Linked DNA regions of Lepisosteus oculatus. The protein of the gene in region 1 binds, or shares a complex with, the protein of each later gene. Links are inferred from orthologs where the notes say so. Each region holds a gene or a part of one and is shown in the gene's direction. Other genes may lie near its edges.

What was found. The genes of interacting proteins can lie anywhere in the genome.
Region 2: phf20b (region 1) and kansl2 share a complex: the UniProt entries of both Homo sapiens proteins name them as parts of the NSL complex. The link is inferred for Lepisosteus oculatus from reciprocal best matches to the Homo sapiens genes PHF20 and KANSL2.

The regions. Positions count from the first base shown.
Region 1 is NC_090711.1:7,201,988-7,209,649, reverse strand, and holds the start of phf20b (PHD finger protein 20b), read left to right. Parts: upstream 1-4,634; 5' UTR 4,635-4,720; intron 4,721-4,794; exon of another isoform or gene 4,795-4,938; intron 4,939-7,662. UniProt on the Homo sapiens protein: Methyllysine-binding protein, component of the MOF histone acetyltransferase protein complex.
Region 2 is NC_090696.1:14,506,871-14,514,444, reverse strand, and holds the start of kansl2 (KAT8 regulatory NSL complex subunit 2), read left to right. Parts: upstream 1-4,572; 5' UTR 4,573-4,582; coding exon 4,583-4,622; intron 4,623-6,358; coding exon 6,359-6,617; intron 6,618-7,574. UniProt on the Homo sapiens protein: Non-catalytic component of the NSL histone acetyltransferase complex, a multiprotein complex that mediates histone H4 acetylation at 'Lys-5'- and 'Lys-8' (H4K5ac and H4K8ac) at transcription start sites and promotes transcription initiation.

The DNA.
Region 1 (7,662 bases):
TATTTACTGCTTTTTTATTTATTTCGTAGTTGTCAACATACGTCTTTTCTAACGTGAAGTGCATTTAAAAGAAATATTTTGATAAGTTGACCCCAGACTTTGCAGCCTTTACTAATAAACACTTTCTTTTAGGGAGGAGTTAATATGTTAGTTTATTGGGTTAGGTGTTTTCTTTTAATTTATAACCATGTTCTCGAAAATGTATTGCTTCCAAATTTTCTAAATTACCGCTGGTACAACACGAGAGACAATATTCCCATTTTTGGGTATTAGTTTCAAGATCGATATAATTTAACAATAAAAAAAATTGAAAGCACGAGCATAGTAATATCATGATCATAGACTTTACATTTCTATTAATTTTTGAAGTACAAATCAGAAAGTGTTTCCCCTACCTTAAATATACGATTAAAATTGTTCAAATAAATATTCATTACAGAAAGCAGCGGAGACAGTTATATTGCAAATAGAAAATATATTTATTTCAAAGAGTACGGGACATTGTGAATTAATAAAGACGTTAACAAATAAGCCAATGTAGTTATTTTGCAAATAAGTAAAGCATTTTAAAAATAGATTCTCATTGACAGTAAACAAGCCGATCCAGCAGGCGCTACTAGCTTGAACAGCTCTCAGACCCGTGATTGGCTAAAACTCCCGAACAGTCCGGGCCGCGATTGGGTAAAGAGTGAGAATCGACACTCTGATTGGATAAAGTGCAACAGCGGAAGTTCCTAGAACATGTAGATACACAGGTGATGGATGTTCTTCGCCAAATACTGTAGCCCTGGTTAACCGTGTGTGCTGCATGAGTACGCTGGTTATAGAGTAACACATCCATTGGTTTCCAATTACTAATCAATCTAAGAGAAGTCGCACTGAGGTCAAAACTGAATAGCAGACAAAGAATGTCAAGGCATCCACAGCGCGTTCACGACTCCAATAGCATGTCACAATAGGAGTGCGCGCATCACGATCACATCCTGATACCCACTGCGACTGGCACATCACTGTCATGCCGCCACTTTCATTAAGTCCATATATCGCGATATCACCTACCCCCGACAAAACGCCCACCCCCATGGCGCGACACGGAGTCCACATATCGCGATATGACAAACGTCACCCGCACCAATGTCGCGAGATGAAGCCCTCATATCGCGATATGACATACCCGGCAAAAATGCCCCGCCCCCATATCGCGACATGAAGTCTATATATCGCGATATGAAAAAACCCGTCACGCCCATGTCGCGACATGAAGCCCGCATATCGCGATATGACCTACCGGGCAAAAAATGCCCCGCCCCCATGTCGCGACAGGAAGTCTATATATCGCGATATGAAAAAACTGTCACGCCCATGTCGCGACATGAAAGGCCCTATATCGCGATATGGCATGCCCAGCCAAAACGCCCACCCCCCATGTCGCGACATAGAGTCCATATATTGCGATATGAAAAACCTGTTATGCCCATGTCGTGACATAAAGCCCGAATATCGCGATATGACATACCCCCAACAAAATGCCCTGCCCCCATGTCGCGACATGAAGTCCATATGTTGCGATAGAACATAGCCATGGTCACGTGATCACCGATAAAAACAAGGCGCTATATATCGGGATCGAAAGCAGCAAACGTAGCACTAACGAATGAGACCGTTTTGGTTTCCCTACGACATTGTAGGGGAGCTCAATGACGTCACGACCCCGGAAATAAAAGGTTTTTATATCTCGGAAACGAAAGCAGCAGAGACGCTCCTTTCAACGGCACAAACTGGCACAAACGTAGCACTAACGAATGAGATGGGTTTCATCGTTTGTGCTTTCTGTGTGGGGGGGGCAACTTAACGGAGCTTTCCTAGACAGCTGGAATACTCCCGTTGTCTGAGCGCAGTATTGTGTGAATTAATCTGTTTCAATAGTTGTTTTATGGCTTGAAAATCAATTATGTGAAATTTGGTTATTCCGTAAATAGATTATGTAAGCGGTTTAACCAGACTTTATTCCGAATTGTTCATTTATTATTACTGCACATAGTTACGTTCAATGGTAGGGTTTCGAATAAAACAGGGATACTACCAAGTAAACAAAATGTTGAGACTGCCCTCTGCTGGGATAATTGGAGAGATGCAGAAGTTCTTTTCCACACAGTCTACTGTGCCAGAAATAATCGGGTACAGAAATCAATCGTAATTTGCTAAAACGATAAAGATAATATTTATAAAAAGTTCAAATATATAAGATATAAGACTGAAAAGTGTGGCAACACGTTTAATCATTTAACCTGTTGCAAACTTCACAATTGTTCATCTTTCGAAATATGCTCTCTATATCTTTAAAATTCTGAGGTTATTTTTATGTCTTGTCTGTTGGGTGTGTTAGAATACATTTTGACTTTCAGAAAACATTAGAAACTTTGCTATAAACCCCCTGTATAGTTTATCTTTGGAGTAGATTGAACACGCACTACCTACGTATGTCCTATTGGCATTAACTTCCTCGTTACTGCATGAGTACTGTAATTCAGTTTGTGAAAGTTTAGTTTTTGACATTATGATTCAAGTAAGTAATACAAAACAGCTCCTTCTTATTCTAGAGTAATAACTTCAGCTCATCTCCAAAAGTGGATGGTATGAATAACCTGTAAGTACTATATACATACATTTCACTTTATTATTATATATGCCTCGAGTTTGGTACGTACGGTTTCTGAGTAGAGATGAACACATCTATTTTATCAATAGCGGCTACTAAAATAATGTTCTAATTACTGATAAACTAAAACCACGGTTCAATCTAAATAAATTAAACGTTTTTATTAATACAGAATGGGAGCATGACCTTTCTCTGCTCAAATAGTTCAGTAACTGAAGGATATTTCTCACTCTACCACCTCCTCTCTCACCGTTCAAGGGGAGGAAAAATGTCAGTATAATCTCATTATAATCGTGTCAGCGTGTCAGAGTTGAGCAGGTAATTCTTGGCTGTAGCGAGGAAGAAATTATGCACACTTAATTTAAGATACGTAATAATAATAATTGCTTACACTTATATAGCGCTTTTCTGGACACTCCACTCAAAGCGCTTTACAGGTAATGGGGATCCCCTCCACCACCACCAATGTGCAGAATCCACCTGGATGATGCGACGGCAGCCATAGTGCGCCAGAACGCTCACCACACATCAGCTATCAGTGGAGAGGAGAGCAGAGTAATGAAGCCAATTCATAGTGGGGGATTATTAGGAGGCCATGATAGATAAGGGCCAATGGAAAATTTGGCCAGGACGCCGGGGTTACACCCCTACTTTTTTCCGAGAGATGCCCTGGGATTTTTAATGACCACAGAGAGTCAGGACCTCGGTTTTATGTCAAACCCGAGGGACGGCGCCTGTTTACAGTATAGTGTCCCCGTCACTATACTGGGGCATTAGGACCCACATGTACCGCACGGTGAGCGTCCCCTGCTGGCCCCACTAACACCTCTTCCAGCAGCAACCTTAGTTTTTCCCATCCAGGTACTGACCTGGCTCACACATGCTTAGCTTCAGTGGGCTGCCAGTTGTGAGTGGCTATAATAATTAAGAAATCATGCCAAAATAAATAAAATAAAAAAAGATTACAAATGGACTCAAGCCTTGTGAGAAAAAAACGGCTTATATTAACAAGAACAAAACGTTATATTATGTCTCAAATATCGTGAAGGAACCAATCCAGACAACGTATAAAAATGATTTGTTGCTTAGAATAACTCTAAAGGTATGAGTAACTTTAAAGGTACGAGAGAGGAGGACAAGCATATATGCTACCCATATAATGCGTGTCAGTGAAAAAGTTCTCACGCTATTTCACCTAGGTCACTTTTTACTTCTTTCCCTTAAGCTACATAACATTTTCGTAGTTTTAATTAACCGCATATTTAATAAACTATCGCATTTCATATTACAAAGCGAAATGCGATTACTAGTAAAATATCAGTACTTCTGTGTAATATGAAATGCGAGTTTATTTAGCTTTACCGTTCAGCATTAGTCAATCAAGACCCGTCAAATTAGAAGCCAAATCAACTTAATAATTATCGTTGAAGGCTGCATCGCTTTTAAAGAATTAAGCGCATAAATGCAGGTCAATTCAGTGTAAGCGTAGCCAGGACATCGCTTTAGTGATTTTAAGTGATCTTACACTCGATCGCTGGCGGTAAAACATTTCCATTTAATTTTAGTATGCCCCCCTCTTCCTGGACAGTCTCGCTGAGAAACCCCGGTACCCCCCAAAACCTTAGCCCTGTCAAAGGAAGACCGGATAGAAGCATTTTACCCCGACCAAAACGTGAATATTTTCTTATCCGGGGGAGAACACAAGCTCTCTTTCCATTCGGACGCGCGGCCGAGCGGACGTTAATAAATATTTTTCATGTAACCGTGCACGTATATGTTTCGTGCACGAAATAAACGAACAAAGAGAAGGGAAATTGGGAATAAAACTCGTCACCATTTTAAAGGAACATTCTACACTTCTTGAATCAGAAAGAGCGCCTGGCGCGCCGGCGCAAGCGCAGAAGGCCAGCAGTCGGAGTCTCTCTCTCCGCTCACACACACGCAGGGAAAATAAACTGCGTGGGCAGCCGACACCGAGAGGGTGGCAGTGCGCTAGAGTCTGGGAAGGAGTAGCTAACTGTACATGCATCATCAGCGGGGGATCACGTAAGAAAATACAAGGTAAAGACCGTTCCCACGTCGTAGCGGGGCTAGGGACGACGTTTTGCGTGCGACTCAGCCTTCATCATTGTTTATTTGCCATGTGAAGTGTTTGTGATGCCATGCATCAGGAGGGGGAAAAAAATAAAGTTGCCGCATGTGTCTCCTCGAGAGTGATGCTATCCTCACACTTTGGAGAAAACAGAAAGATTTTGTCCCGTGAAGGGCAGGTTTGGGGGGTATGTAAGGAGTGGCTTTCGCGATGGTTTGTTTTGCAGAGCCGAAGCGTTGATGTAATTTTTTCCCGATGATTCGGGGGGGAAGGTTTTTTTTTTTTCCTCCTGTTTTCTGGGAAGTTAGTCCCCTTCTCAGTTCGTGTAGTAATTACGGCAGACTGATGTGTGCAGGCCGGAGAGGCCCCGGCAAAGTCGGCCGAACGATTGACAAGCGGCTCGTCCAATCAGGCGCCTCGAATCCGCTGCTGTCAGAGCCGGCAGCCAGTAAGCTTCTCTGAAATCGGCAAACGGGCGGAGAGTATCGGCAATGTGGGGTTTTACTTTTCCGTCTTTAAAACACCGAAATCCTGAAAATACTTTGTGTTTCTAAGAGCAACGTCCACCTTGTGCTTAGCGAGGACATGCTTTAGCACGTCCCGCTGGCTTCTCTGTGGAGTCGGAGGTGATATTTTTTTCGTGGTTGGATCCACGTTTTTGTGCACGCAGGAAACAAAACCCAGGCGGTGCTTGCAATAAAACGGTTAATCCAGTATCTTGGGTTGATCCATAAAACAGATCTTGCGGCGCCAGCGGAAGTCTCCCGACTTCGCAAACCGGACGGCACCCCGGTTTTAGAGGGGGGTTCACTCGTCCAGGAGCCCGCGGTAGTGGCATAAACAACGGGCGAGAAACGTATTGCGCGCCATTTGCGTCACTCCGCTCCCGACTTGTGCTCGGCAGCTGCAGTGATTGTCCTCCGGCTCCGCAACTTGAAATGCGAGGCTCCGGGTCAGGGCTCGGTGACACACAGCCTGCCCCACCGTCTTACAACGGCGATTTGCATTAGGGCCGAGGAACACCTCCGGTTTGCAAGCCTGGGGTCACACGTGTGCTCCTGCTTCACATGGCGCATATTGTTCTTTCCTCGGCAGTAGCTTCCCGAGAGGTTGCATCTTCAAGCCGGCAGAGAAGTGAACGCAGCGTCTTGTGTAGCTTCTTTGAAAACCTGGAGCTGACGACCAGTGCCCCCTCCTTTTCTGATTCCCAAATAATACTTTAAAATACAAAAAAAAATAGTATCTCAAAGAGTTACTTTTATTCAGGCTTTTCTACACTGAATATATCAAACGTTCTATGTGTAGCAACAAAACTAACTGCAATGCGATTTTTACGTTTATTGGCTATATTACAATATCAGTATAAAAAGCTAATAATTATTAAAACGAGTAGACAGTTGGAAAGTACACGTGACTGGATGCTCAGATTCTTACTTTAATAATACGGGAGCTGTGCCTTTAACACAGCTACATTTGTCAAACCTGTAGTTTTTAATAGTTGGCTGATAAGGTTGGTTGATAAGTTGAAGGGTTGCACTATCGTTGCTATACTATTGAAGTAATTACTAGTTTTCGACAGTGTTTCTCTTTAATGTTACGTAATGAAAAAGATGAGCAGAAGGTTCCAGATGGGATTGCAGGCTGTCTTGGACTCAAACGGTGTTAAAAATAAGGGAACTTCCCGTGTGGGTTGGTTCGTTCTTCAGTCGATTCACTCCCCTGAGCTGAAATGAAAATGCAAAGCTTTCGTTTTTAGGAAGTTGCCTGCCACCTGCTGTTATTAGATAGGAAGCTCCCCCCCTTTTCCTAAAAGGCAAAGGATAGATGCAGGATATTCTTTTAATGTTAATGTTTCTTTATTAGCCCTATACAATTTCTTGCATTAGGAATTCGTCTTTTCGCATACCCCAGCTTTTCTCCATGGAGACACAGACACACAGACAGGGAGAGAAGCTTGGGGTCAGAGTACAGGATCAGCCATTGTACGGCGCCCCTGGAGCAGTTAGGGTTAAGGGCCTTGCTCAGGGGTGCAGTAGGATTCCTCTGCCGGCTGCGGGATTTGAACCGGCAACCTTCCAGTCACAGGCACAGATCCTTAGCCACAGAGCCACCTCTCCGCCCAATTCATGCCACTGTCGAGGGCGTGTGCATGAGTTTTTTTCAGGTCCAGGACTCCGACTGCTGTTAATTAACAGCAAAGGACGTTTGGAATTGCAGAATCCAATGAAGGATGCAGTGGAATCCATTACTTGTTTATCCGATGCACTTATCCAGTACAGGGTTGTGAGGATGGGGAGGTGAGCTGGAGCCTAGCCCAGCAAGTGAAAGGAGCAAGGCAGGATACACCCTGGGTGGGATGCTTGTCCATCACAGGGCAGATACACATACTCACAACAGGGCCAGTTTTCACAGCGGCCAGTTCACCTACTCGCCGAAATGTAGTGTTTCTTACCTTTCAGCATGGAATGAACTTTCACCTGTTCCTGCATGCTGAATCGGCTCCCTGCTAGAACCCCTTCAAAGTAGAATTGAGCAAAAACCCCTGCTTCCTTCAGCACTGTGTCCCTAATCACCTTTCTGAGATATTGGTTCTTGGTAATTCCTGTTTATAGTGAAGAGTGCCACCTACTGGTCCACAGACAGCTTGCAGTAGCAACCTGGCTTTCCTTGGAGGTCTCCCATCCCAGTACTGACCAAGCCCAGCCTTGCTTAGCTTCCGACATGCAGAACGTCAATCAGTCACCTATAAATTAATCAGGAGACCTTTGAAGGAACTAGTGACGGAAAATAAGCGGCACCACATGAAATTACAGCAATGTAATGAAATAGCGGGTGAGCCCAGGAGAACTTCTGCAGGGTGGTGGAGGAAGAAGGACCGAGACCTGAGCAGAGAAAGACGTCTGCTGCTAGC
Region 2 (7,574 bases), on another chromosome or scaffold:
CCGTGGATGAATCAGTCTATTGCTGAACGGGCTCTTCATTCCTGCAAGCCTGTCATAGAGGGGATGGGAGAAGTTGTCCATGATGGTCTCTAGTTTGGACATCATTCTCCTCTCAGCCACTACCTCCAAGGGGTCCAGGTCAGACCCAATGACAGAGCTTGCTCTCCTGATGAGCTTGTTCAGCTTTTTGGAATCCACTGCTCTAATCCCAGAGCCCCAGCACACCACTGCGTAGAAAATGGCACTCGCTACCACCGACTGATAAAACATGTGCAGCATCTTACTACACACATTGAAGGACCTGAGCCTCCTCAAGAAGTAAAGTCAGCTCTGTCCCTTCTTATAGATGGCCTCGATGTTCTTAGACCATTCCAGTCTATCGTCGATGTGCACTCCCAGGTCCTTGTACGAGTCCACCATCTCCACGCCACTCCCATGGATGTAGACAAGAGTAGGTTTGACCTTTTTCCTCCTGAAATCAACCACCAGTTCCTTTGTCTTTGTTACATTCAGTTCCAAGTAGTTCACCCCACACCACTCCACAAAGCTGCTGACCAGTCCTCTGTACTCCTCCTCCTGCTCACCCTTGATACATCCCACAATTGCAGAGTCATCTGAGAACTTCTGCAGGTGGCATGACTTTGAGTTGCACTTAAAGTCCAAAGTATAGAGGGTGAAGAGGAATGGAGAAAGAACTGTCCCTTGAGGTGCCCCTGTGTTACTCACTACCTGTTCAGACACACAGTTCTGAAGTCTCACAGACTGTGGTCTGCCTGTCAGGTAGTCAGTGATCCACGAGGTCGAGGAGGCTTGCATCTCCTCCAGCTTCCTCCTTAGAAGTAAGGGCTGGATGGTATTGAAGGCACTGGAGAAGTCGAAAAACATGATTCTTACAGTGTTGCCAGCCCTGTCCAGGTGTGAGTAGGCCCTTTGCAGCATGTAGATGATCGCTTCCTCCACACCAACATTGGGCTGGTAGGCAAACTGTAGGGTGTCCAGTGATGAGCTGACCAGGGGTCTCCAGTGGGATAAAACCAGCCTCTCCAGTGTCTTCATGATGTGAGAAGTCAGTGCAACTGGTCTGTAGTCGTTGAGGACAGAGGGGCGCCCTTTCTTTGGTACCGGGACCAGGCATGATGTCTTCCAGAGCGTGAGTTAGTATAAAATGCTATTTCTTATTTTACGCAAGTTTAAAGCCACAGTATTATCATTAGTCCAATAATCATGTGTATTGGCGATATAAAGAACAAAAACTAGCCTGTTCCTATATGTTGATTGTCAAGATTAGTGGGGAGTTTGGTTTGAATACCTACCTCTATTCTTTTCGAGAAACAATTAGGCGTTTTAAAGAAGTCAGAAGCGCTGTTTCATGCGTCAGCTGAAGGAGAGGGCTTTTTTACAGCACAGCGTCCCGTCACTAAACTGGGGCACTGGAATCCACACAGACCGCAGGGTGAGCGCCCCCTACTGGCCCCTATTTTCTTTTACAATTTCAAGTCTGCAAATAATGCATTCTTTCACGATTCTTTTACAAACGTCCGACGCTGACTGCATGATTCATTTAAAACACAGAGGCTTGATCCCCGCCACTCCTTACTCTGTGGTTTTCCTCACTCTCTTCTAAACAACTAGCATTATGGCCAAAACTTGACAACTAGACTTCTAACTCGCACCAAGTCTTGGCAGCATATCACTCCTACACATCAGCCTCTGCTTTCCCATAAAGTTGCATATTTAACATAAGGTCTTGCTAGTTAGAAGAGGAGAAAAGAGACGAAAAGAAACACAACGTTTCAGCTGTGGAGCCTTCTCTGGGTGTCACTTTTCAGCACGGAATAAACCTTTACTGCTTCCTGGTGTCTCTCCTGTTGGGGCAGAGGCGGCTTGCCGGCATGCCCTTTGTGCCAGGGGTGAGGGCCACTGGAGCACGCCCTCGACTGTTGCCCGAAAGCCCTTGGAGAAGGCTGCTATCGGTGGCAGCGCGACCGGGGGCTGAAGCCCTTGGCGGACGCTATTAGCGGGGATATCAACGACAGCAAACATCACCAGGCCACCGAATCCGTCAGAGCCGGTCAGCAGCCGCGTCCGCTGTGCAAAGTATCGGCGGGTCTCCTTGGCAACGGCAAGACAGGTGGGCCCCTGACCGCACTCGGGCTGGACGTTGTATTGCTGTGTGAAGCATCTCGGCAGCCGGCCGTGCCAGAGCGGACAGGTCCCCGCTGGAGGCTGGCGGAAGGAGGGAGTCAGACATGAAGACCTGGTAGGTCTGCGCTGTGGGAGGGGGTGAGCCCGTCGGGGGGGGGCTGCAGAGGACTTGCAGGCCAGTCCCTCTGTGTCTTTTGGACGTAACAGGGGTGAGCAAGAGGAAAGCCATCCAAACCGCCAGAGAGGCGGTTGGAAATAGTTGAAAAAAGGCCTTCGAAACAGATGAAACCCACCACCCATACATTACTGTAGATCCCGTCCCCACCACTTCATTTCAGTGCTGTTTTCACTTCTCTCTGCCCCGTTGTCCTCAATATAATACATGAATCCTTGGGCACTGGTGTTGTACCAGTGGTTCTCAAAACTGCTGCTATCACCCCTGTGCCACAAAATCTAAATCTAAACAATTTTCGCCCCATCTCCAATTTTCCCTTTCTTGCACAAATTCTAGACTGTGCTGTCACATTTTCAATTACATAACCACCTCATTGTTAATAACCTTTTCAGACCCCTCCTATCTGGCTTCCGACAACTTCACACACAGAAGCTGCCCTGGTCAAAGTCACTAACGATCTTCTAATGGCTTCTGATTCTGGCTCTCTTTCTATCCTTATTCTTCTTGACCTCACTGCTGCTTTCAACACTGTTGACCATGACATCTTACTTTCTCGTCTTGACCTGTGTTTGGAGTTTCTGACACTGCTCTTAAATGCTTCAAGTCTTACCTCACTGATCGCTGTCACTTTGTCTCTCTTGGCAGATTTAGGTCTGAAATTGGACTCGTTTAGTCTGGTGTTCCTCAGGGCTCAATACTGGGCCCCTTACTTTTCAGCATTTACATATTTCTGCTTGGTCAGTTTTTAAGATCATTGCCTCAACTATCATTTCTATGCTGACGATACTCAGATCTACGTCCATACCAAACCTCACACTGATGTGGCTGTTTCTGTTCTCTCTAATTGCATCTCTGACCTAAAAACATGGATGGTTCAAAATTTTCTTTTTTTAATCTGTGACAAAGACTGAAGTCATGCTCATTGGCACCCCCCATCAACTTTGTAAAGCCAATGCTGTAACCCTATCTGTGGGTCATACAGTACTTGAGATTCAGTCTAAATTGAAAAACTTTGGGGTGATATTTGATTCAGGTTTGACATTCGACCCACATGTGCAGCATATTGTCAAAACATCTTTCTTTCACCTCAGAAATATCGCTAGACTATGTCTTAAAGCTGATCAACACATTTGTCTTCTCCCTGATCGACTACTGTAATGCTCTACTCGCTGGGGTTTCTAAATCCACATTGAACAAACTCCAGTAAATCCTGACCAGGTTTACTGCAAGTGATCACATTACTCCTATCCTGGAGTCTTTGCACTGGCTTCCTGTCAGGTTTCGTGTCGAATTCAGAATCCCTATGCTCACCTTTAAAGCTCTGCATGGTTTGGCACCTCAATACCTGTCTGAGCTACTGTCGTCCTACTCCCCACCTCACAACCTTCGCTCTTGTCATTCTTGCCTTCTATCTGTCCCCCAAACCAGTCTACAATCTAGGGGTGACAGGGCCGTCTCCTGCTGCACCCCAGAGCTCTGGAATTCCATCCCCAAGGATATCAGAGAGTCACCTTCCCTAAACTCTTTCAAATCCAGACTCCAAACATTCTACTTTAGAATCGGGTTCTGTTCTTTAATAATAATCCCCATCTCTGATCTGGGGTCATCACTCTGCTCTCCTCCCCACTGATAGCTGGTGTGTGGAGAAAATACTGGTTCACTCTGACTGCTGTCACATCATCCAGGTGGGGGCTGCACACTGCTGGTGGTGGAGGGGAGTCCCCATTACCTGCAAAGCTCTTTGAGTGGAGTGTCCAGAAAAGCGCTATATAAGTGTAAGCAATTATTATTATTATTATTATTATAAGTGCAAAAAATGATTCATCATAATAATAATTAGAGGAGTGACCCGTGGGTAACAAAGCCACCTGGACGCAAGCCAGGGCTTGAACAACCTTGGCTGGGTCGCCTGGGCGAGGGTGTCTGATGTTGAAAGACCCCTGGTAGGAATACTGATGATGTGTCCAGGTGCATCAGAGGATGTATTCTTAAATCATTACAACGCTGCAGTCTGTACAAGCACTGCCTTCGCCAGAATCCGAGCTCTTCGGTAGGCTGACCCAAATTGATAAGCGTTAATTTTGACCAATCCCCGGCCGAGCTGTATGTCGATTGGCATGTTGACAAACCAATGACGTGTTTCCAAGGTACTTGTGTCTGGCCAATCCTGGCTCGGTGGGGGGGGTGGCAGCCGGCCGACCGACAGAGGGAGCCGACCGGAGCGGTTAAAGCTCTTCGAGTGGCGGGCGAGGTCGAGGTAAGATGTCTGGTAAACGTGGTGTTGCGACGATGAGCCATACTAGTAATTTTTTTTTTGTTGTTGTTCTGGGTGACTGTGTTGATTATGAAGCGGGTGGGATTATCTTTACTAACAGAAAAGAAAGAGAAGTGTAGCGGGGGTTGGGAGGGGAGATGTTTCGTAGATGTGTTAAGATGGCTGACTCGCGGATTGGAACGAGACAAGGGGAAATAATGTTCGCGTTCAAAACAAGAGGCGCCTTTCAGGCGGGTGTGCAGGCTCCTTAGTGAAATCAGAGTTTGCTTTGCTTCGAGCTAGTTGTATGGTACAAGTGGCTTTGCTTTGTGCCTTTAGACCCATGCGTTATTAAGAAGAGCTGCGGCTGAAACGTGTCTAGGCGCTGTAAATGTTTTTATAACATGTCGGTGCATTTTGAAAAGATCGCAAACAAAGATCAAGGCGTAAGATATCACAGAAGTCTCTCAGCGGGTGCAAAGATCCCCCCTCCACTCAGTAGGTTTCTTAAATTGTCGCGCCTGGCTTCCTCCGTGCGCGCTTCTCTGAAACGGGCGAGCACGCCTGGTCAGTCGAAGGGATGGGGCACGACTTGCGCCCACGATACAACAGCTTTTAACTTCTGGTGCATAGATGACGATTTCGGCATACGCAATCAGATGCTGTAGTGTTGTCGACGTGTTTTAAAGGTAGCTAGGAAAACATTGTATTTTTTTATCAGTTAGGGAGAAATGCACGTGTTCTTTGGCAGCCATTCATTAAATACTCGTATCCATCTTTTAGAGACTTATTCTCTCTCTTTCTCGGCCGGTATCAGTTGCAGTCGAGAGATCGCCTTGTCTTGAAAGGCACCTGGTGTGTTCAGTGGCCCTGACCAGCTGCCCCCCCACACTCTGATATTGAACATGTTCTTAACGAAGCACGAGGGCGGGGGGGTTGCCATAGGAGGTCATGTACACGTGAAGCGACTTGTCTGCAGCAGTATCAGTACTGAAGAAGACGGTCTTGGATAGGACCCTGTTGAAAATGGGGGGAAAAAAAGTTTTGAAGAATTTAAAATTGGTGTAGAGAAGCTCTGGAAGGCTGAGTGTTGAAGTTTGCAAGTCATCCCCCCCCTGCCCCCCTGTGTGACTCAGTCCTGCTCTAGCACTCATCCAGGAGGACATGGTTTGCACAGATATTTGCCAAAAAGCAGATTGGAGTGGCTATATGGTAATAACTCTTCACACTTATACAGTGCTTTCCTAGACACTCCAGTCAAAGATCGTTACAGGTCGTGGAGACTCCCCTCACCCACCTGGATGATGCAACGTCAGCCAGAGTGCGCCAGTACACTCGCCACACACCAGTTATCAGTTTGGAGGAGAAAAGACAGATGAAGCCGGTTCATAATTGCAGCTCTGTAACTGTGTGATGCTGATTACTGTGTTCAGGCACTGGCTGGGAGTGTTGAGTAATTAGTTTTGTGACTGTAGGACACTGACCACTGTGCTCAGAGCTTGCTGGTAGCCATGAGTTTGTAATTCCTTACGCTTATTTTTTTTTCTGGACACTGCACTCAAAGCGCTTTGCAGGTAATGGGGAATCCCACTCCCACCACCAATGTGCAGCCCCTCCTGGATGATGTGACAGCAGCCAGAGGGCACCAGTACTCTCCCCACACACCAGCTCTCAGTGGGGAGGAGAGCAGAGTAATGAAGCCAGTTCATAGATGGGGTTATTGGGAGGTGCTGAGCAGGGGCTGTGAGCTCCAGCTGTATTTATCCCTGTGTTCTCTCCCCCAGGCCTGGGCATGAACCGAATCCGCATCCACGTGCTGCCGTCCAGCCGGGGGCGTGTGACCCCCCAGGCCCGGGCGCAGGAGTCCCATTCCTGCTCCTTCTCCCCCCGGCCGTGCTCCCAGCCGCGCCTGGAGGGCCTGGAGTACTGCCTCAAGCACGTGCTGGAGGACAAGAGCGCCCCCTACAGGCAGTGCAGCTACGTCTCCAGCAAGAACGGCAGGCGGTGCCCCAGCGCAGCCCCCAAACCTGAAAAGAAGGACGGGTGAGTCCCCCTCCGTCTCCTGGATAGGAGCCACGCCCTGCTGCCCTTTCCTGGGTTCGGGGGGGTGCGCTTGGCAATTCACACCCTCACCCTCAAGCTAAGGGCAAGTGTGATGCGTCCCTCATCGTCGGATACGCATGTGTCGCTTCGACTCGCAGAGGGTGCAGAAGAACGAGAGTTTGGTGATGCCTCTTTCTTTGAGGTTGTCCTGCTATCAGGTCCCCTCATAGTCGTCTCTCTTCGAGACTTAAAGGTTTGGATTCTGTAGCTCATCAAAATCATCTTTTTTCACAAACCAATCCTCTGGGCTGCTAGGAATTATTTGTGGTGTCAACGTACTTGAAATAACAGATACAAACATATGAGCAGTTTCAAGAAAAAAATAATTATAAATAACACATAATGTATGCAAAATAAAACCTGATGCTACATGGCTGTGAAGATAGAATCCACACATTTACTAATAAATAATTTTATAACAGGTGAGCCAAGACACAGAATGGCTTCATCCCTGTCGGTGTAGGACATTTCCTTAAGCCCTGGAATGTATCTGACCCTGCAGTGTTCTAAATGAGGACTTGCAAATGATTTGTACAACTTTAATGTATAAAGGGATGCTATTAATTGTGCTTAAAACTGTTTTTTAATGTGTTTTCCTTTTTGCTTCTTCCTCACATTGTGTAGAAGATTGATGCATCAACAGACACACCCAAGCCATTTTCACAAGTAGACTCTTCAAATTCAGGGTTTCCAATTTTTATTTATAGTTTATTTTGCTGCCTTTGTAGTATTCTTCACTTGTCTCCATCAGCTGATGTCAAAGTGTTCGCTCTTGATTTCTGAATCTTTAGCAGTTTCCTTTGTAGCTTCTGCAGGCTTTGCTAGTCCTCCTATTTGGTATCATCTGCAAACTAGACTGGTTTACTAACTACACCATAATGTAATATAAGTTAGTTG